Elephas maximus indicus: one gene and its partner. The protein of the gene in region 2 purifies or fractionates together with the protein of the main gene of each other region. This does not show direct contact. Links are inferred from orthologs where the notes say so. Each region holds a gene or a part of one and is shown on either strand. Other genes may lie near its edges.

What was found. Proteins that work in one complex are often made in the same cells at the same time.
Region 1: the proteins of RPS6KA4 (region 2) and CSNK2B purify together in Homo sapiens (affinity purification with mass spectrometry; 3 studies listed by BioGRID and IntAct, with this or other methods). This does not show direct contact. The link is inferred for Elephas maximus indicus from reciprocal best matches to the Homo sapiens genes RPS6KA4 and CSNK2B.

The regions. Positions count from the first base shown.
Region 1 is NC_064819.1:93,195,012-93,205,458, reverse strand, and holds CSNK2B (casein kinase II subunit beta), read right to left. Parts: upstream 6,708-10,447; 5' UTR 6,589-6,707; intron 6,410-6,588; exon of another isoform or gene 6,218-6,409; intron 5,773-6,217; 5' UTR 5,762-5,772; coding exon 5,690-5,761; intron 5,001-5,689; coding exon 4,898-5,000; intron 4,324-4,897; coding exon 4,208-4,323; intron 3,780-4,207; coding exon 3,680-3,779; intron 3,540-3,679; coding exon 3,350-3,539; intron 2,557-3,349; coding exon 2,466-2,556; 3' UTR 2,321-2,465; downstream 1-2,320. Other genes in the region: GPANK1 (G patch domain and ankyrin repeat-containing protein 1), read left to right, coding at 8,522-9,156, 9,927-10,371. UniProt on the Homo sapiens protein: Regulatory subunit of casein kinase II/CK2.
Region 2 is NC_064825.1:127,526,583-127,537,029, forward strand, and holds the start of RPS6KA4 (ribosomal protein S6 kinase alpha-4), read left to right. Parts: upstream 1-3,894; 5' UTR 3,895-4,032; coding exon 4,033-4,087; intron 4,088-4,180; coding exon 4,181-4,252; intron 4,253-4,954; coding exon 4,955-5,173; intron 5,174-5,264; coding exon 5,265-5,380; intron 5,381-6,035; coding exon 6,036-6,143; intron 6,144-6,388; coding exon 6,389-6,469; intron 6,470-6,547; coding exon 6,548-6,651; intron 6,652-6,752; coding exon 6,753-6,903; intron 6,904-9,449; coding exon 9,450-9,614; intron 9,615-10,447. Other genes in the region: CCDC88B (coiled-coil domain-containing protein 88B), read left to right, coding at 1-62, 219-287, 1,491-1,546. UniProt on the Homo sapiens protein: Serine/threonine-protein kinase that is required for the mitogen or stress-induced phosphorylation of the transcription factors CREB1 and ATF1 and for the regulation of the transcription factor RELA, and that contributes to gene activation by histone phosphorylation and functions in the regulation of inflammatory genes.

The sequences.
Region 1 (10,447 bases), on a different chromosome or scaffold from region 2:
CATCCTTCTGGCTGCAAGTTCAGCCTGGCACCTGGTCTTAGAGACAAGCACAGGACAGGGGATCTGGAGCCAGATTTGAATGGAGGTGGCAGATGACCAGATTGAGAGTGGATTGGCAAGATAAGGGGTGATGATGGAACTCAGATGGTGGGAGAAGAACGAAAGAAACTGCTGCACCTTTCTCAGGTCAGCCTAGGCAGAATCCACACTTGAGATTCTATTCTAGCAGGAAGAAAGTGCCCACTAGCTTCAGAGGAGATTAAACCAAAGCTATACAAATATTGGAGATACAAAAGAGAGAGGCCCAAGAAATCACAGTGACCAAATAATGTGGGTGTTTCCAGAGAGGACAGTGCAGGACTGGGGGTATTAGTGGAGAGTCGCTAAAACAGGTTGGATTCTGGGAGGGGTAAGGTGTCAAGGTCCAGCCCGGGGAAGAACCAAAAGTCCTGACTTGTTGAGAAACAGGTATGTGTGACGCAGGTCAGCAATGGACAAGCCCAGGCTAAGGGGCAGAGTGGCCAGAAGGTCCAGGCCTTCAGGCTCCATCCCAGCATGGAAACTGGGCAGGGGCAGGGAGAGGTTCAGGGCTTGGTAGAACCGTTGGCTCTGGAACTTAGACAGGGGCAGGGCCAGGAGCCTGTGAGGGGGTTCAGACGGGGGGCTCTGGAGCTGGGGGCTGGACCAGGAGTTGCAGTAATCATACTGGCAACACTGGGCCTGATACCAGTACTTCAAGAAGTAGGTACTACGTTGTTCTCGGCAGTGGTAGGAATTGTATTGTCCACAGGCTCGGATGATAAAGCGAGGCTTTAGATCTGAAGGAGAGGGGATAGTCAGTAACCCTTGCTGCCTCCCATAGTCCCCAAACATGGCACTCTGACCACTGACTCTCCCCATCCCCCAGCCAGAAGTGACTTCCATCCCAGTCTCCTTCAGAAGGTTCCAGAAAAAATAGCTCAGCTAGCTCCCCAAAATCTCAGGCCTCTCTTTCCGAGATCCTTCTCTCTTCTTCCTGGACCCCAGACCCAAGAAGGGCCCAACTATGTGAAGGGGAAACCAAACCCGGGTCTGTTCCACCCACTTCCCATTCCTGGAACTTGACTCACCATAATAGATGGTGATCACCATGCATGGGGACAAGCTGTTGATCGTGCACTTCTCTGAGCCCGAAATGCAACCTACAGCAGGGTCTTCTAGGAGGCAGAAGTGGCAGGTTCGAACTTCAGGAACAGGAACAGAAGCTGGGGAAGCAGAAGATAGGAGGGGTGGGAATCTTGGCTCGCTCCCCAGTTCCCCGGCCCTGCAGGGAACCCAGGCATCCAGCCCCACCCTGTTCCTGAACTCATGGTCACCCCTTCCTCCCTGCCCCTGGGCCCCACTTACCCTTTTCTGCTGAGAAGCCCACCATGACCAGCATGCCTGTAAGCATGTGGACCCTCATTATGGAATTCTGGAGAGGGGCAATCCCTGAGGGGTACCCTGAATCCCCACTTTCCTATGACCACACGCCTTGATTCTGAGCTGGAGGTAGTTCTGATAGGCAATCTGACCAGGAAGGGCTATAAGCGCAGAGCTATATTCCTGCCCAGGGCAGGATCCTGGGCTGCAAGGGGAAGTTATCAACCTGGCAGGAGGGACAACATGTCCTCACCCACGAGGTCTGGTTCCTGAGTGTGGGAGTAGTGGCCCAGACAGAGGTAATACTTGGGCCCTACCTGGGCTCTTTACTCAACTATTTTTGTTCTGCGTGGCCCCCAAAGCCCTATCCCTCACCTCGAGGGTCCATGAACTAGGATGTCCATCTCTGGGACAACCTGCTCTCTACCCCACACAAAGGGCCAGACCAAAGCTGCCGGAACAACCTTTGACCAGCAACCCCGCATCTCCATCTTTCTGAGACACGCTCACACTCTCTCTCTCTCACACACACACACACACACTCACACCGAGCAGCAATTCTGGACTTTATTCCTCCTCTCTCCAACTCTTACAGTTCTCTTGATTTTAGGACTTTCCTTTAAAACCAAAACTGAAAGACAATGCTGTTGATGACATCCCTTTCAGTATGAATAGACAATCACAGATAGCCCCCCAAAAAACAAATATTTTTCTAATCTTTGAAACCTGATTTTTCTCTGGGTCTTTTCCTTGTGAACTTGCACTTTACACCCAGCCCTAGGAGTTATGTTCTGTTCTCCACTAAAAACATCAGCCAAATCCACAGGGCACAAATCTGATTTCCAACTTGGGGAGGGTGGGCCCCGAGGGCTCCCAGAGCTACCCTCCCATCCCCAACCCCAAGCATCAGCAGACCGGCTCATGGCCTTTTCTTCCACTTTATTTGATATCCCCACCACAATAATGACTCCTTTAATTTAAACTAAAAACCACAGAGGATTCCTGAAAGGGTGGCAGCAAAGGAACAGGGGTGTAAAAGACTGAGGAACAGGTAGGCTAAGGAATCAGCGAATCGTCTTGACCGGGCTCTTGAAGTTGCTGGCAGCTTGGAGCTGCAGCTGGTAGGCCATCGGGTGGATCTTGAAACCATAGAGCCTGGGCCGGGGAGAGATCAGAGAGGTAGTGGGATGAGTGGGTTACATTCCTGCCTCCCCACCCCTCTGCCTCCGTGGGCTTCCTCAAAGCTTAAGGGCAGTAGTTCCCAAAACTCTTTACTCAAGAATACTTGGAAATGTATGTTAAACATCAATTAAAACTCAAATTCTATATCAGTTCTTGTTTCAAGGTAAAACTGAACTTCTCTTTTTCATAGACAGACTTAAATTGATGCCCCAAAAAGATGAATCATATTTATTAATCTGGTAAAAGGCTGAACACCCAAGACAGTGGTAATAATAACCAAAAATCAAATTAGGTGCCATTGAGTTGATTCCATGGTGACTCAAGGTGTGCAGAGCAGAACTGCTCCACAGGGTTTTCAATGGCAGTGGCCTTTTGGAAATAGATTGCTAGGTCTTTCTTCTGAGGCATCTCTGTGTTGGTTTGAACTGCCAACCTTTTGGTTAGGTAAGTGCTTAAGCACTCACGCCACCCAGACACTCCGGTGATGGCAATAACTAAAGTTTAAATATTTTAAGCTCCAAACACTGTTCTAAGCAATTTACCTGTTCAAAGTCACCCTATCAGGATAACACTGCCATCATCCCCATTTCATAAAAAATAAAACAAGCATAAGGCAATTAAATAATTTGCCCAAGGGTACTCAGCAAAAAGAAGCCCTGGCCTGGGGGAACCAGACCTCAAAAAAGGGGATGCCCTGCCTTCCCTTATCTCCAGGGGACCTTGGGTCTTTTCTTTGATCCTTGGTAGCTCTGTCCTTGCTCCCCACCTGGGCACAAACTGGTTGGCGGGCCGCTTGGGCCGGTACTCGGGGTGCACCATGAAGAGCATGTGAGGGAAGCCGGTGCCGAAGTAGGCGCCATCCGTGTGGTGATGCCTCGATGACTTGGGTGTGTACACATCCATGCACTTGGGGCAGTAGAGCTTCACCATGGCCTCGCCTGGGATATCCGACAGGCCTGCGAGACAGCCAGACTCAGCCGACTGGGCACCTTCTAACCTGCACAACTTTCACCCAGGACTTGGGCCCCGACTTGCTAAGTCCCAACACATTCCCAGGGCACCTGCCATATGTCATCTACCACTATCCAATACTCACCAATGGGGAGCATTGGCTGGTTCTCACAGTACACACGGGGACAGTAGCCAAAGTCTCCTTGCTGGTATTTTTCCAACTGAGGTAAATAAAATGGCGAAGACTGGTAGACAGGTGTGAAATGATGCAACCCACATAGTGCTAACTCCCCCCTCAGCCCAACCTATATCACTGTGCCCCTAATCCTTCCACCTCTGTCCAGAGGCCCCTTCCCTAGCCCAGACAGACCCTCAGACTCTGCTGCCTCCTTTCCTCCAGTCAGGCAGGCTGCAAACCAGAGTCATTCACTGTTTGTTCCCCAAGAAAGAGATAGTCTGCAAGAACTTCCCATTCAGGGTCATGTCTCCCTCCTGAAAACAGCCTCCCACAACATGCCCCGAAATCAGGACTCAACTCCCAGGCCCAGATTCTGGGCTTCTTCCCCTCTTCTCAGCTAGACTCCCTGGCAAAGTTGAAATGTATGACTTCTTGCTGCTGGAACCTGTTTCCCTTATTGCCTCAAAAGGAGTCAAGTGGGAGTAGAGTCCTCACCATCTGGGCGATGCCACGGTTGGTGAGGATGTAGCGGGCGTGGATCAATCCATACAGCATCTCAGCTGCCTGCTCAATCAGGTCACTCTGGTTGGGGTTGTCTTCCAACTCTTCATCTGAAACATGGCCCGGCCCAAATGCAACCACTTGCCATTCAGCCTTCCTGAGGGTGCTCCACTCACTCCCAGTGGCTGCTGGCTACTCAATTTGCCCACCACCTATCTCTGAGTCTCACCCCACCCATCACCTGGACATTCAACCCGTAAACCTAGGTTTCTGACCCCTTCCACCAACCCAGGGCAGCTCTGCCTTCCCTCCACACCTCTTCAGCCTCCGTTCTCTTCTCTACCCCTACCTCGCTTCTCAATACATAAATGCAAAGATGTCAACGCAGAAGGTGGAACTCTAGACTGGAAGGTGCAGGGCAGAAGAAACAGGCAGAAAACAAGACACTTGGGGAAAGTGGCATTATGGAATAAAGCCGAATTACAGAATCAGTGAGCACAGGAACAGATGGCAGATGTCACTAAACCAGGCAAGAGCCAGGTGGAGAATCAAAGTGAAGGAAGAGATTTTGGGATAAAGGAGACAAAGAGCCAAAAGAAAATTTAGAAATTCAAGAAACAGGGGAATTGGGATTTTGAGAGGAGGAAAAATCAAAACAAAACAACAACCCTGAAAGTGCCTCACCAGGCTCCAGGTCCAAGATCATGTCAAGGGCTTGTCGATAGTGGGGTACCTGCTCATTGAGCCCTGTGAGGTTGAACTTGTCTTGGATGTAGTCTTCATCCACCTGTCAGGATGTGGAAGTGAAGAAGGAAACCACAAAGAAACTCCAGGCTTTGGCACAGACATGTTGCTCTAACTGATGCCTTGTTCTCAACACAACTGCTTCTGTTCCCGTCATCCCCCACCCCAAACTCAAAAGAGGTACTCACACACTCCCTCTCCTAAAAGCCCTGGCCTTTCTTTTCTAAGGATGTCTCCTCAGATAGACATTCTTTTCAAGTTCCCTATCCGTACTCCTGCACCCCATCTCTAGGAACCAGTTTTGTTCTCTCTTTAAGGATAGCTGGCTCTCTGAGGAAGGTGGAGACTGACAGCTCAGATTCTGAAGGTTACAATCCCTTACGTTAACAGAGAACTTTACACATTACCAAACATTTTAACAGGTAGTATTTCAATTCTCGTAACAGCCACCTGAGACAGGTACTATCAGTACTATTCTAGTGATAACAAAGACATGGATTGACCTTCTCGACATCTTCCTGTCGGAAGATGGAAGGCTTGGGACTTGAGCACCAGTCTTGCCGCTTCACTACAGGTTAATGGGAGGTACTGAGGGGACACTTCCTTGACAAGAGGGAGTTTCCATGGAAGCATCGGAAAAAATTATAAGAAGGCTGAATATGTGTGGGAACGCCTGGGGTCAGAGTCTGTGTGGAGCTGCGCTGGCAAGCAGGGAGACTGAGGAGAACTCACTTCACAGAAGAACTCATTGCCACGGAGCCCACAGAACCAGGAAATCCAGGACACCTCCTCTGAACTGCTCATCTTTACGTCAGCTTGAAAAATAAGGGTGTAAGTAAAGCCGGTGACCCAGAGCTTTCCCTCCCTCCCTCTGTCTCTAGTATCCTCCCTCCTCCCACACTTCACCTTCCAACCACAGAAGAACCTTGGGGTCAGCCTTTCTTAAAGGAGAGCCCTGGTGCTGGAGTGGTTAAGAACTATGGAGAGCTGCTACTGCTAACCAAAAGGTGGCAGTTTGAATCCACCAGCTGTTCCTTGGAAGCCCTATGGAACAGTTCTCCTCTGTCCTATAAAGTCTTCAGTAGTCAGAACTGACTCGATGTCAACGGGGTTTTTTAACGGGGTTTCTTAAAGACTCCCAGACTCCGGAGCACCCCTCTCCAACTCCTTTTATTTACACCTCAGCCCCTTTTCTCTGCAGTTAGAAATCCTGTGCAGTCCACTTGCAAGAAACCAAGAGATGTGACCCACCAGTCCTACCCGCATCCCTGGCTCTCCCGCAAGCCGGGCCCCTCTCCCTTCCGTGTCAACTCCAGCAGGGTCCTCGACTCCGGCTCCCTACCACAGTAGGGCTCTGCAAGTTTCCGGAGCCTTTCCCAAAGGTCCCGAAGTTTATCCTTCCCGGGAAAGAGCCCGGCCCCTCCTTTTCTGACGGCCTGCGGGTGACTGTCAGATCCCTTCCACAGGAGCCCGCACATACCGCAGCCGCCCCCCAGGACACCCCTCCCTCCCTCCCTCCCTCAATGCCGGACCGGGTCACTTCCTTCCCCGCCCCCACATCGAGGCGCAGAGACCCCATGTGCAGCGCCAACGAAGAAGAAGGCTCGGCGCGGCGAGGACCTCAGACTAACCTGCTGGACAGGGGCCGGGAGTGGGGCGGGGAGGGGAGTTGCTGCTTCCAAGCGACAGCTACAACGAAGGCCGTGGACCCGACCGCGGCAGGCGACGCGCGGTGGGGGGAGTGGAAATTGGGGAGGGTGGGGAAAAGAGCAACGCGCAAGCGCCAAAGGTCCGGCACCGCGGTGGACGCCGGGAAATAGAGTCCCCGGTAGGGACAAACTGGCGAAACGAGGGAAAAGCTAACTACGAATCCCAGGATGACCCGCACACGACTCTGGTTCGCTGGGCCCGCGAGGAAGACGCTCGAGGGCGGGGCGCAGCGAGGCGCCACCGGAAGCGGAAAACAAATGCCGCATTCGGGGCCAGAGCCTGGGAAATACAGAGTTTTGCTCCTAGGACTGAGGGGCCGAGTGGGGGCGGGGAAATCAGCGCGCCAGGCTGAAGTCTCTCCCTGCCTCTCTCCTCACTGCTTGATACTCAAGTCCTGGCTAAGCGCCTCCGCCCTGGAGTCTAGTCCTGTTTATTCCTAGTCTCGTCCAGGCCGTCGCGTCTTTCTTGCCTGTTAGGTCCCTTGCCCCAGTCAGGCCTATTCCTGGGGCTTCCCCTTCTCCATAGGGCCCACGTTTCACCCAGAGCCCCGGCCTCCTGAGAAAGAAAATGCTCCGTGCTGAGAGACCTAGGTGGGCTGGACTGGGCTGGGCTGGGCTGGGCTGAGCGATGTGAGAACCGGGACGGCCCAGTGCGCTAACCTGAGGTGGCACCAGCCATCCTGGCGCTTGTCCCCTTGCACTTTTCCATATCCTCTTAGGCCTTGAATAGGACCTTCGACTGCGGGCTCAAAGTGTAACCTTCGAACCTTGGTCAGAGTAATGGTGAGGGGCAGGGTGACGTTATTTCATGTCACAGCTTCTTGGCATTGCAGATTTCCCTCCTCAGTGCCTTTCCTAAGTCAGGGAATGGTTTCCCGGCTCCAGAAAATGAGCTCGGAGCGGAGGGTCACCTCGAGGGAGGTGGAGGGCATTGTGGGGCGTTATGTAAAAGCAGGACCCCAACCGACAGATCTTCTTAGGTCCTCGCGCCGCCGAGGCACGCGACCCTTTGCAGATTGACTATTGGAAAGACTCCAGGGCGGGAAACTGAACCCGGCGCTTCACGCCTGCGCTCTGATGTAATCATGGCTTTTTTTTTTTTTTTTCCTGCCACGCATGCGTTGTCTTGTCTTGTGGCTATTTGATTGTAGCGTATCTTTTGATTAGAGTAGCGCCATTCTGCCGTACGGAAGCCACAAAGCAATGCAGGCGGAGCCTCTTGCCGAAATCTGCTTCCGGAGAAGTGCCGAGACTGTTTTTGTTTGAAAGACGGAACCCCGAAATAGGAGCAGGAAGATTTAAAGGGCCAGGCCGGTTTTTTTTTATCTTAAACGTATGTCATTTGGTGTGGAAAAGTCGGTTCAGAGAGAGGCTCTCATTACTTTTATATGAGAGCGGGGTGGCAGGGCGGGACATAGGCCCTCTGAGCAACTCTCTCATGGAATTTTCTTTGTTGACATTTAGCAAGGAGCAGGTTATTGTAGGGTTTCCTGTTTTTACATGTGACCTATAACCCTTGGAGCCCTGGTGGCGCAGTGGTTACGAGCTTGGCTGCTAACCAAAATGTCGGCGATTGGCATTCACCAGCCGCTGCGTGGAAACCCTGTGGGGCAGTTCTACTCTGTCCTCCTGTAGGGTCGCTATGAGTCGGTCCTTAGGCGCTTAGGCCCTGCCGGGCCTTAGATTGTGGGGTCACTTTTGGGGCAGGAGGGGATCTTGGATTCTAAGGCTACTTTTCTTCCTTTCGGCAGCTTCCTGGAGGTGGATCTCGGCACTACAGGGGCTTTTGGGCAGTTGGCTTGCTTTTCTCAGCCTTCCCTTGCCCAGCCTCATTTTCTCAGCTCTCACAAAAGCCATGTCCAGGCCGTCCCTCATCACCTTCACCCCAGCCAGCGATTCTAGTGACCTCTGGAAAGATGGGCAGCAGCAGCAGCCACAGCCTGAGGAGCCAGAACCCGCCTTGGATGGGTCTGCAGTCCGTGCTTTCTACGAGTCACTGATAGAGAGCGAGAGCAGCTTTCCTGAACCCCAAAGATCGCACCCTGAGCCTGCCAGGGAGAAAAAGAGGAAGAAAAGAAGACTGATGAGGGAGGCTGCGGCAGAAGCAATGGCAGTGGCAGAGGCAGCATCAGGGGTACATGGACAAGAGGGATCCCTTGAGGCAGAGGACAAGCTAACCCAGTGGATACTGAGGGCAGCTCAGGAGGGGGACCTGGCAGAACTTCGAAGGCTGCTGGAACCCAGTGAGACAGGAGGAGCTGGGGGGAATATCAATACCCGTGATGCCTTCTGGTGGACTCCCCTGATGTGTGCTGCCCGAGCTGGCCAGGGGGCAGCTGTGAGCTATCTCCTGGGCCGAGGGGCTGCCTGGGTGGGAGTTTGTGAGCTGGGTGGCCGGGATGCTGCCCAGCTGGCGGAAGAAGCCGGCTTCCCCGAGGTGGCCCGCATGGTCAGGGAGAGCCATGGAGAGACGAGGAGCCCTGAGAACCGGTGAGAAAGTCTTAGCCCATGCACATATTTCAAAGTGTTCTGCTCTTCTTACTCACTCTGCACCAGAGGCCCCAGAACAGAGCTGAGGGTCCCCCTGCCCCATGTAGGTTGATAAGGCAATGTAGTAGCATGGTTACAGACATGAGCTCCATTGGTTTGAATCCTAACTCCACTTACTTGGGCAAACAACCTAAATGCTATGTGTCTCAGTTTCCTTATCTGAGAGATGGTGGGTAATAATAGTACCTTTCTCGTAGGGTTAAGATTAAATGGGCTAATACGTGCAAACTACTAGAGCAGTGCTTGCCATGTAGTTGTTAGTTGCCATTGAGTCAATTCTAATTCACGGTGACCCCATGTGTACAGAGTAGAATGCTTCATAAGGTTTTCAAGACTTTGACCTTTTGGAAGTAGATTGCCAGGCCTGTCTTCCTGGGTGGATTTCAACTGCCATCCTTTTGGTTAGTAGTGGAGTGCGTAGCCATTAGCCTCACCCAGGGGCTCCTTTGCTACATGGTAAGTACTATATAAATATTAATTGTAATCATTATTATTCCTTCCTCCAAAAGTCTTGTGAGGCCTAGTTACCATTTCTTCTCCCAGCCATTCCCCTCTGGGTTTCTCATTGCTAAGTGGGGAGGAAAGCAATTTGTTCCTTAGCAGAAGGGCTGAAAAGACCTTGTCCCACCCTGCCAGCACCCCTGAAGCTTCTGTACCCTTCTCCTGACCCATAACCCCCTCCCTCAACTCCTTCTCTTCTTCCTCTGCAGGCCCCAATCTCGCGCCTCCCACTATTGCGAGACCTGTGACGCCTACTTCCAAGATGCCAACCACTGCACATCCACCGCCCACCTGCTGTCACTGTCCCAGGGTCCCTGCCCCCCTAGTCTTCCCCCTGGGGTGCCTGCCTCCAGCCCAGGCTTCAGGTTGCTGCTGAGGGGAGGCTGGGAGCCAGGGATGGGGCTTGGACCCCGAGGTGAGGGTCGCACCAACCCTATCCCCACTGTCCTTAAGAGGGACCAGGAGGGTCTTGGCTACAGATCAGCACCCCAGCCCCGGGTCACACACTTCCAGGCTTTGGATACCCGGGCTGTGGCTGGGCGGGAGCGAGCGCCTCGGGTGACCACACTGAGCCGGAAAGAGGAGAGAAGGCGAGAGGAGAAGAGCAGGGCTTGGGAGCGGGATCTCAGGATGTACATGAACCTTGAATTCTGACCTTGGTGAGGTTTGACCCTGGTCTGCTGCCAGAGTCTGAACTTTGGCCCATGACTTGGGTACTTTAGCCTGTACT
Region 2 (10,447 bases):
ACGGCAACGATTCCGCCAGCGCCGCCCAGGCCCCCTGGGGGCACCCAACTCCTCTGGCAAAGGTGGGGACCCTGTTTCCATTAGCTCCCCACTCCCAGTGGACCAATCATCTCCTTGGGGGAGGGGGCTTCCCTCCTGTCCGGTGTCTTCCCACAAGCCCCACTCACCTTTGCCCCAGTGATCCCTGTGGCCCCACGGCTATATCGTGTCCCCCCCAGGATCTGGTGTGGGATGGGACGGCTCCGTCGAGACCCTGGCGGAACATGAAGCAGATGTCAGCCGAGAGGGTGAGGGGGGCCTGGGGAGGGGGTTGGAGTATTCACCCCAACCAGGGCTCCTGACAGACTTCCTCCATCCATTTGAGTCTTTACTAAGTGCCAGGTCCTGTACTAGCTAAGGATATAGCAGGGAACATTCTGCTAGGGGACACAGATGGTAATCAATAGGCCCTGTTGGATAGAAATACAACGTGTAATTTTTAGTTTCCTAGTAGCCACATCACAAAAGGCAAAAAGAGGCAGATGAAATTGATTTTAACGATACTTTCTTTAACTCAGTATGCCTAAGATATCGTTTCAACATGTAGTCAGTGTAAAATTTTTACACTGTGAGATATTTTACATAATTTTTTCATACTAAGTCTTGGAAGTCCAGTGGCTATTCTATGACGAGCAGCCATACGTGGCTCGGAGTGGCCGTACAGGACAGCCCAGCTCTAGAATACCATTATTGTTGTTAGGTGCCATAGAATCGATTTCTACCCATAGTGACCCCATGTGACAGAGTAGAACTGCCCCATAGGATTTTCTAGGCCGTAATCTTTACGGGGAAGGAGTCCTGGCGGCGCAGTGGTTAAGGGCATGGCTGCTAACTGAAAGGTCAGTGGTTCCAACCAACCAGCCGCTCTGCAGGAGAAAGATGTGGCAGTCTGCTCCCCTAAAGATTACAGCCTTTGAAACCCTATGGGGCAGTTCTACTCTGTCCTGCAGGGTTGCTATGATTTGGAATTGGCTTGACGGCAATGCCTTTGGTTTGGCTAATCCTTATGGGAGGAGATCACCAGGTCTTTTCTCTCGAGGAGCAGCTGGGTGCATTTAAACCACCAACCTTTCAGCAGCAGCTGAGTGCTTAACCGCTTAATCCTTGTGCCACCAGGGCTCCTTCCCGGAATATTAGGAGGTGATAATGTTTGGGGAAAAGTATAGAGTGAGGGGGTTAGGGTGCCGAGGAGGAGGCGAGTTGCCGTTTAATTAGGGTGCTTAGGTAGGCCTCAAAGGGGAGGTGGAGCTGGAACAAAAACTTGGAGGTGAGAATCTGCCAGGGCCAGCATTCCAGGTGTGAGGAACAGCCAAAGCGAAGGCCTGGCGTGTTCAGGACAGGCGAGGAGCATGGTGCGGCTGGAGTAGAGGAGGTTGGGGGGCTGAGGTGGGCCTCTTGAGGACTAGGGGTCGTCCTGGGTCAGGAGGCCTGAGCTGAGCCTCTCCTTCCAGGCCTCGAGGTGCAGGAACAGGAGAAACGTCTCCTCACCCCTTCCCTCAGCCAGTGACACCACATGGATGGGGCCCACGGGAGCACTCCCCTCTCGCCGTTGGAGCCTCGGTGGGGGCTCTCGCCAGCCCAAGAGCTCAGGGAGCCAGGGTGCCCAAGGGGAGTCCTTGGACAAAGAGGCCCTGAGATGGAGCTGGGACGAACTTGTGGACAGGGGGCATGGCCATCCCCCAAGGGCAGCTCCTTGCCAGGACACCGGCTCTGCCCTGCGGCCCCCACTGAGGAGGCAGTCTCTGGGGGATCACCCTTCAGAAGGAGGCTGGCGGGAGCAGGCAAGAGAGCCCCCCTGCCCGGTCCACGTGGGGAGCTAAGGACCACTCCCTGGGGTCTGTGACCTGGGCCAATCTCTGAGCCGGGGCGTGAGGAACGTCAGAATAAAGCGAGATGCAGTCACCTGAATTATGTTGTGTCTTCTGGTTGCATCCAGGGGCTACAAGACGTCAGGGACACATGCAGCTCCAAGTCCACCCCGCTGGTGGGGGCACGGGAGCAGCAGTCTGCGGCAGAGGGCGGGCCTCCCTGCCCCCAACAGGGTGGCAAAGGGCACTTGTTAGGTGAGGCCAGCCGGGCTTGCCAGAGCCTAGATGTCCCTGCGTGTGTGTGGGTGCATTCAGGGTAATAAAGGACAGTGCTCCAGCAGTGGGTGGGGCCTGAAGTCTCAGCTCCGCCTTTGCCTACAAGGCAGGGTCTGTAAGCCCCAGAGGCCCCACCTCCTCCTGGGCACCCTCTTCTCACCCTTCACTTCCCCCCACCTTCTCATCTCCTCTTTCCCATCCCTTTGGAATTGAGCCCCTGGTGCTTGGTGGGGCACCACCTAATGTCAAGAGCTGCCATAGAGGGATGCTGGAGGTGGGAGGGACCAAGGGCTTTGGAAGAGACTGGGAAGATGGGCAGTTAGGCTGGGTGGCCAGATGTGAGTCAGGGGACTTGGGCTGCCCAGGGCGGGATGGGCTACTCCTGAACCTGGGGGTGTGCAGAGCCGGGAGGGTGGCCATCCAGCCCCGCCAGGGTAACCTGCAGAGCCTGGCTCAAGGGGTTTCTGTACCCCTGCCCTGGGGTTAACCCCCAGCTCTGCCCTCCTCTCCAGTGGAGCTGGGGGGGGGGCAGTGGGTGGGGTGGTCCCCCTGACCTCCAGCTGGGCTGAGGAGCAGAAAGCCCACTTCCGTAGGCCTCGGAGCCGGGGTTGTGGTGGCCTCCCCACCCTGCTTTGTGGCCTCTGTCAGTTGCCAGAGAGGGCGAGGCCCGGGAATTGGCTGCCTCCAGGAGGCTGGAAGAGGAGGTGGCAGAGGCTCTGGGAGATAGGTCACTCAGGGGCTCTGGGTCTGATGGGGAGAGGGGACTGCCCCTGTGTGGCTCTGACATCCTTTTTGAGGTCTGCTCTGGGCTGGGCACCATGCCAAGCTCAGGGACAACAGGGGGATAGTACCATAGGAGGTATGTGCAGCACCAGGTGGGCTTCCGAGGGTGGCTGGGGACTGAGGCTCTTCTGCAGACCCAGAGAAAAGAGATCCAGTTGGTGTAAAAAAGAGATCCATGCGTCCTACTACAGCTGGGCTTGACTCCATCCCCCTGTGGAGCCCCCTGTAGGCACCAAGAGGTCCCAGTGGTGCTGCAGGAGCCAAGATAAGGCTTAGTTCTGAAGGCCCCTAAGCCCCCTCATACTTCCCCTGCAGAGTCAAGTCCACAAGAGAGGGAGTCTTGGCTGGCCATCTGGAGGTGTATGTAGGCGGGGAGCTGGAGGTGACAGAGCTGGGGCCAGGTTGGTTCCACTGCCTTGGACTGGGTGGCTTCCAGGACCCTGACATCCTCTTGCCTGCCCAGCACCCAGGGGACTGGCCACACTGAGTGAGGGTGCTGGGCCCAGGCTGTGTTGGATGACGGTGGCCCCGGCCGCCCATCAGTCAAAGGGGCACACAGAGCCCCAACCCTCTTTGCGGAGGTCAAAGTGATCACAAATGGAGTGAGTGGGCTGTGTTTTTTATGAAAGCCCTTGCACTGTCGCTGGTGGCTATGAAAATCAGGTGGAGGACTGGCGGCTGCACTGGGTCTGGACTCTAGGAGGGGTGGTCTCTATGCCTGTTTTGGTCCTCCCTCCACCTTGGGGCATAGGCTCCTGGTGTCTGGGACACTGGCTTCAGCAGGCATCCTGGCTTGGGAGTGTACGCTCAGGGACCCCAGGCATGTCTCCCAAGAGGGGGAGGTCCCAGATCCCCGGGGGGGGGGGTTGCATGTGGATCTCCTTAGCATACAGCCTTGATGCTTGCCCCCATGCGGGGAGACAGGGCGACCCCCACCGGCCGCCCACTGAGGCCCGGCGCTGTCACGTTCCAGCCGCCTGACTCAGGCCGCGCGGGGCGGAGAGCCGAGAGGCGGCGCCCGCCTCGGCCCGGAGGCGGCACCAGGAAGCGCCCGCCCCGGCCGGAGCCGCCATGTAACCGGCGCCGCCCGGAGCCCGAGCCGCGCGGGCCCAGGGACCCGCCCGCCATGGGGGACGAGGACGAGGATGAGAGCTGTGCGGTGGAGCTGCGGATCACGGAAGGTGGAGCAAGAGCGGCAGGGGGCGCGGGGTGGCTGTCGCGTAGGACTGGGAGGGTCACGGCCGGCTGAGCTGATTCGCTCCCTGTGTCCGCAGCCAACCTTACCGGGCATGAGGAGAAGGTGAGCGTGGAGAACTTCGAGCTGCTCAAGGTGCTGGGCACGGGAGGTGAGGACCCCGGGCCCCCAGGCAGGTGTCCCAGGTTCGGTGCCCTGGGTTTCCAGGGCCGCAAACCCGCCTGGGCCCGGGCCAGGCCACCGGGAAGGCCCCCCACCCTTTCCCGGCACAGCCGCCTAGCTCGCCCCGCCCTGCCCCGCCAGGGTTTGCATGCCCTCTCCCAGGGCCAGCTCAACGGTGACATCGTTCCTCCCTGCCAGGTCCTGTGCGTGCATGCCCCCTTCCCGGTTTGCCAGCACCCTGCAGGGCCTTGCATCCCTCCCAATTATTTGCACAGCTCCTCCCCTTCCCCTGCTCGAAGCGCCCTCCCCCGCTTTGCAAACTCCCTAGCCCTAGTTTGCACTGCCCACCCGCATCTCTGCATCCCTTCCTTGGATTTGAATCCTCTTGCATCCGCCTGTTCTTTCGCAGGTTTGCACATGCCCCGCCCCCACCTCGCGCTGCAGGCCCCCTGGGGATGCATGCTCCCCAGTCTGGGTTGCACATCCCCGCCCTGGTTTTGCGGAGCATCCTCCTGGGGTTTGCACACCTGTTCCTTGCACACCTCTTCCAGTTCTTTGCACACCTGCCTGGCGACCCGGCTTCTACCCTCGATTTGCACACCCTCCTGGGTTGGCATCACCCCCCGCCCCCGCCAGTCTGCACCACCCCCCTGCTCACGGACCACCCTCCACCCACTTGCTGCTCCCACAGCCTACGGGAAGGTGTTCCTGGTGCGGAAGGCGGGCGGGCACGACGCGGGGAAGCTGTATGCCATGAAGGTCCTGCGCAAGGCGGCGCTGGTGCAGCGCGCCAAGACGCAGGAGCACACGCGCACCGAGCGCTCGGTGCTGGAGCTGGTCCGCCAGGCACCCTTCCTGGTCACGCTGCACTACGCCTTCCAGACCGACGCCAAGCTGCACCTCATCCTGGGTAAGGGCAACTGCACTCTGACCTCGGCCGGGGTGGGTGCAGGCGTGGTGACCCGGACCCGGCGCTCTCTGACCCCCATCCCGTCCCCCAGACTACGTGAGCGGCGGGGAGATGTTCACCCACCTCTACCAGCGCCAGCACTTCAAGGAGGCCGAGGTGCGCGTGTACGGGGGCGAGATCGTGCTGGCCCTGGAACACTTGCACAAGGTGGGCGGGGCCCTGACCACGCGGCTGTTGCCATGGGGATGCGCCTGCGGCTTGTAAGGGGCTTCAGAACATGGCCGTGGTGGGTCTTTTCCCGGGCCTCCTGGGGCGCGGTGTCCTCAATGGGGACTGGAGCTGCTTCACAGGCCTGGAAGGAAGGGCTCAGTGCGGCCTGCGGGGGTGGGGGGAAGGGCCTCCTCCCCTGGCGCCTCGGCCAAGGGGCTTTCCTCTCACAGGGAGCTCGGGGCTGCCTCCTGAGACGCTCTCACAGAAAGAACTTCCTCAAAATCAGACCTCAAGCCTCGCTCCCTGCACCTCCTTGAAATGAGCTCTCCACCCGGCGTTTGAAATGAGCTTTTCACCCGGCTTTCCTTCTCCCGGGACCTTGGGGCTGCTCCAGTGGGGCCTCTTCCTGGGGTCTTCCTGCCTTGCCTTTGGTCCTTAGAATGGTTCAGCTCCAGCCCAGCCCCTGTCCCAGGAGTCCCTCTGCACGCAGGTGTCCTTGATCAGGGACCTCCTCTCGGAGGGTCTCCTTGTCTTGAGTGGAGACCTGGTTGTCAGCAGTTGTGGAGGGACATGGGTGGGGGACTTGTCCCTGGAGGCTTGGAGCTGGGGAAGGTTTCGGGGAGGAAGCTCAGTGCCCCTCTTGCCCTGCCAGCTGGGCATCATCTACCGGGACCTGAAGCTGGAGAACGTGCTGCTGGACTCCGAGGGCCACGTCGTCCTCACGGACTTTGGGCTGAGCAAGGAGTTCCTGACGGAGGAGGTGAGGGAGGGTCATCTCTCTGCCCACTGCATCCCCATTCAAGCTTCTCCTTCCTGTCTCTTCCTGTCCTGTGCCTGGCTCTGTGTTTCCAGAGGTGCAGAGGTGAATGGACCCAGGCCCTGCCTTCAAGAAACTCCCGCTGCCCCCACCCTCACAAGTCCATCAAGTCCTCACTCGGAGCTTTGGGGGCTGCTGGGGCCAAAGAGAGGCCTTTGGTACCTAAATGTGCCCTCTCGCCCTCCCAGAAAGAACGGACTTTCTCTTTCTGTGGCACTATTGAATACATGGCCCCTGAGATCATCCGCAGCAAGTCGGGGCATGGCAAGGTAGGTCGGTGGGGAAGCAGGGGCAGTGGGTGTGGGCCCGGGGCGGTGTAGGCCCTCATTCTGGCTCCACCCTGGTAGGCCGTGGACTGGTGGAGCCTGGGCATCCTGCTCTTCGAGCTGCTGACGGGGGCCTCGCCCTTCACGTTGGAGGGCGAGAGGAACACCCAGGCTGAGGTGTCCCGGTGAGGAGGGCCGGACGTGGAGGCGGCCAAGGGCCAGGGGCCTGCCTGGGCAGGGCTGTGGGGGGGCTCGCTGCCCCTGACGCCCCCCCCAATCCTCTCAGACGGATCCTGAAGTGCTCCCCTCCCTTCCCCCCCCGGATTGGGCCTGTGGCGCAGGACCTACTGCAGCGGCTGCTTTGCAAGGACCCCAAGAAGCGGCTGGGTGCAGGTCCCCAGGGGGCACAGGAAGTCAAGAACCACCCCTTCTTCCAGGTGAGGCTCTGGACTCTGGGCCCCACACCTCCGTGCTGGGCACACCTAGGCCAGGCTACTGCTCTGGGTTGGGGGATGCAGAGGGAGGGTCTGAGCCTGGTAGATTTCACTTTGTCCAGACCACCCTCCAGGGAAAGAAAGCAAATGTGTATAAGTTGAGGCTTATCCTCTCATCTACCCCCATTGAGGCTTTGGAGATGCGTTCCAGAAGGAAAGAATTCTAGGTTCATCATGTCTGGGCTGGCAGGGACTTGAGAATGGGTCAACCAGTCCTTTCAATTGACAGGCCCAGAGAAGGGACGTGACTGCCCAAGATGGCACAGAAAATGGTGTAGAGCTGGGGACAGAACCCAGGTCTCCTCTGGGCCCAAATTAATAATGAAAATCACAGGTATGGCTCTTTAGCGTCCCCGCGGCCGTTTTGTTTTGTCCTTGTGCAGTTTGGGTCTGCATACAGGGTCGCTATGAGTCCTAACTGACTTGACGGCAATGGAGGGAGTTTTGTGCAGCCTGAGTGCCTGCCATTTGGATGGATGGTTGAGGAGCCCACGTGGGGCTTGGCTGACTGGTTAAGAGCATGTGCATTCCACCTCCCTGTGAGACCAGGTGCTTGGCCATCACCAGCACCCAGCAGGACCTTACGGCAGTGAGCATTCACTGTGTCAGCCATCGGCCTGCGTTACTTCACGTAACCCTCTGAACCATCCTGATGATCCCCACTGTTATAGGCGAGGACCCTGAGGTTCAGAGAGGTTAAGACATTTGCCCAAGTTCATCTAGCCAGGAAGCAATAAAAGCTCAAATTCAAACCCAGGTCTAGGGGCTTGAAGGCCTGTGCTCTTAAATGCTGTGTTCTTCTGTTTGCCTGTGGGCAACAGATATGCCACTTGTCTGATACGATAACAAAAGCACCCTTTTATGGCTGCTGGGGTGGCGTAAATAGTTCGCACTTGACTACTAACCTAAAGGTTGGCAGTTTGAACCCACTCTGGTGCTACAGAAGAAAGACCTGGCAATCTGTTTCCAGAAAGATTACAGCCAAGAAAACCCTATGGAGCTGTTCTATTCTATAACAAAGGGAGTCTGCATGAGTCGGAATCGACTCGATGGCAACGGGTTTGGAGTGGTTTTTATTATGTGCCGGGCATTCTGTTACCCGTATTACAAGCACCATCTCCTTGAGTCTCCCCAGTAAGTATCACCCGGAAGGGCCCTTGCGGATGCTTTCTCAGACAGAAGCCTAAGTCTCTTTGGTGAAGATGTCTCTTTGCTGGGGGAGAAGGGGAAGCAGTTGAGAAGTGTCATTTTCCTTCAGTGAGTTCCTTAAACCCATTCTGAGTGCATGCCAGGTGCTGTGCTGGGTGCTGGGAGCAGGTGGATCTGTCCACAGGAGAGACCCCAAGGCCTTTGAGGCCTGATTCTTGGTAGGGTTGTTCCCCTCATTCCACCTTCTTTCTGGGCAGCCTCTTTGGTGATAGCAATGCCGGGATCCCTGGTGGCAGAATTGGGTCCTTTAAGCCTGACTCAGGCCTCTTGGCTTTAAGTGACAAAAAGTCTAATTCAAAATGGTAGTATCTGTTGGAATAGAGTTCGGCTGCTAGTAACAGAGATTGGAACGAAGAGTGGCCTAAAGAAAAAAGAAGTTATTATTTTTTCTCACATGAAGTATAGAGGTTGGCAGACCAGGGCTGCTGTGGGGTCTTCATGGTGTCTTCAGGAACCTACGCTCCTTTTGTCTTATGCTTCTCCATTCTTAGCGTGTAGGCTTCACCCCAGGGTTGCCTCACGGCCCAAGATGGCTGCTGGAGATCTTGCCATCTAGGCTGCTTCCCAGGCAGGAAGCAGAGGGAAGAAGGATGGAAAGGGCAAAAAGAGCACTTGCAAAGATCCTTCTTGAGGATCTTTCCCTGGAGTTCTACCTCACAATTTTTGCTTACAAGTTATTCGTCATCCCTTGCTGCAAGGCAGTTCATAAAATATCTTTTAGTTATGTATATTGCTGTCTGGAATAAAATTGGGGTTCTGGTTCTAAGGAAGACAGGGAGAATGGTTATTGGGCTGGCAATTAACAGGCTCAGCCACACTTACTTAAATATAAAAGGGCATGTTTTGGCTCTTGTAAGTGAAAAGTCCAAGGGACAGGTTCTGGGTTCAGGCAAGGCTGCATCCAGGTGCTCAAACTGTGTCATCAGGAGTGCCTTTCTTTGTCTCTTGGTTCTGCTTTTCTTCATGGGGCTTCATCAGTAGATGTTGAGGGTACCCCAGCAGTTCCAGGCTCACATCCTCTCAAATTTAAGAGAGATTTGTTTTTCAGACCAATTCTATAAAAAGTCTCAGAATTGACAGAGCATAGTGGAGAGGTGGTTTGTAAAGGAAACAGAGATTCTGTTACCAGAGAGAGGGAAATGGAAACTGGGGAGGCAGGAAGAGCAGCTGCTCACCCCAAACACAAGAGAGGCCCTTGGGTCATTGAGGAGCTGCCCAGTGAGGGTGGCCTGAGTCCAGTTCCTGACCTTTAACCCTGATCTCTGATTCCTTTTCCGCAGGGCTTGGATTGGACTGCTCTGGCTGCCAGGAAGATTCCGGCCCCATTCCGGCCCCAGATCCGCTCTGAGCTGGATGTGGGCAACTTTGCAGAGGAATTCACCCGGCTGGAGCCTGTCTACTCGCCCTCTGGCAGCCCCCCGCCTGGGGACCCTCGCATCTTTCAGGTGAGTGAGAACTCATGAACCCAGGTGTAGGGGAGGCCCTGGCTGACCCGCGGGCACCGCACAGCTATGTCCTGACCAGGACTCAGCATCTTTCCCAGGCCTCTCCCCACCTCACTCGGTCCAAGTTTAGCTCAGGATCTCACTGCTCAAAAAACACTGGCGTTGAGTCGATTCTGACTCATAGCGACTCTATAGGACAGAGTAGAACTGCCCCATAGGGTTTCCAAGGCTGAAGTCTTTACGGAAGCAGACTGCCACATCCTTCTTCCGTGGAGCAACTGGTGGGTTCAAACCTCCGAACTTTTGGTTAGCAGCTAAGCACTTAACCACTGTGCCACTAAGGCAAATCCTGACCCTGCTTCCTCCCCAATGTCCACGCAGCAGCCCTTCTCCCAGGCCTGGCCCTGCCCTGTTCAGTCCTCATGGCCCTTTTCTTCCCCATCTCCCTCTGTAGCTGAGTGACCTCCTAACACTCAAGCCCGTGGGTCCCTTGCCTGCTGTTCTAGGGCTTTGCCTCCCAAGCTTTCCCAGTGAGACTTCCCCAAGACAGCACAGAGCTGCACTCCCATGGTACCTGTAGTTGTCATTCATAGAGACTGCTACAGCAGGACGTGGCTTTGAACTCATGCTTATCTGTAAACCATGTGTAAATTTCCCTTCTACCCATCACATCTCTTTGTTGTTCTATAAAAATGTTTTAAATTGTCTACGTGCTTACGTGGAAACCCTGGTGGCATAGTGGTTAAGTGCTACGGCTGCTAACCAAAGCGTTGACAGTTCGAATCCGCCAGGCGCTCCTTGGAAACTCTGTGGGGCAGTTCTACTCTGTCCTA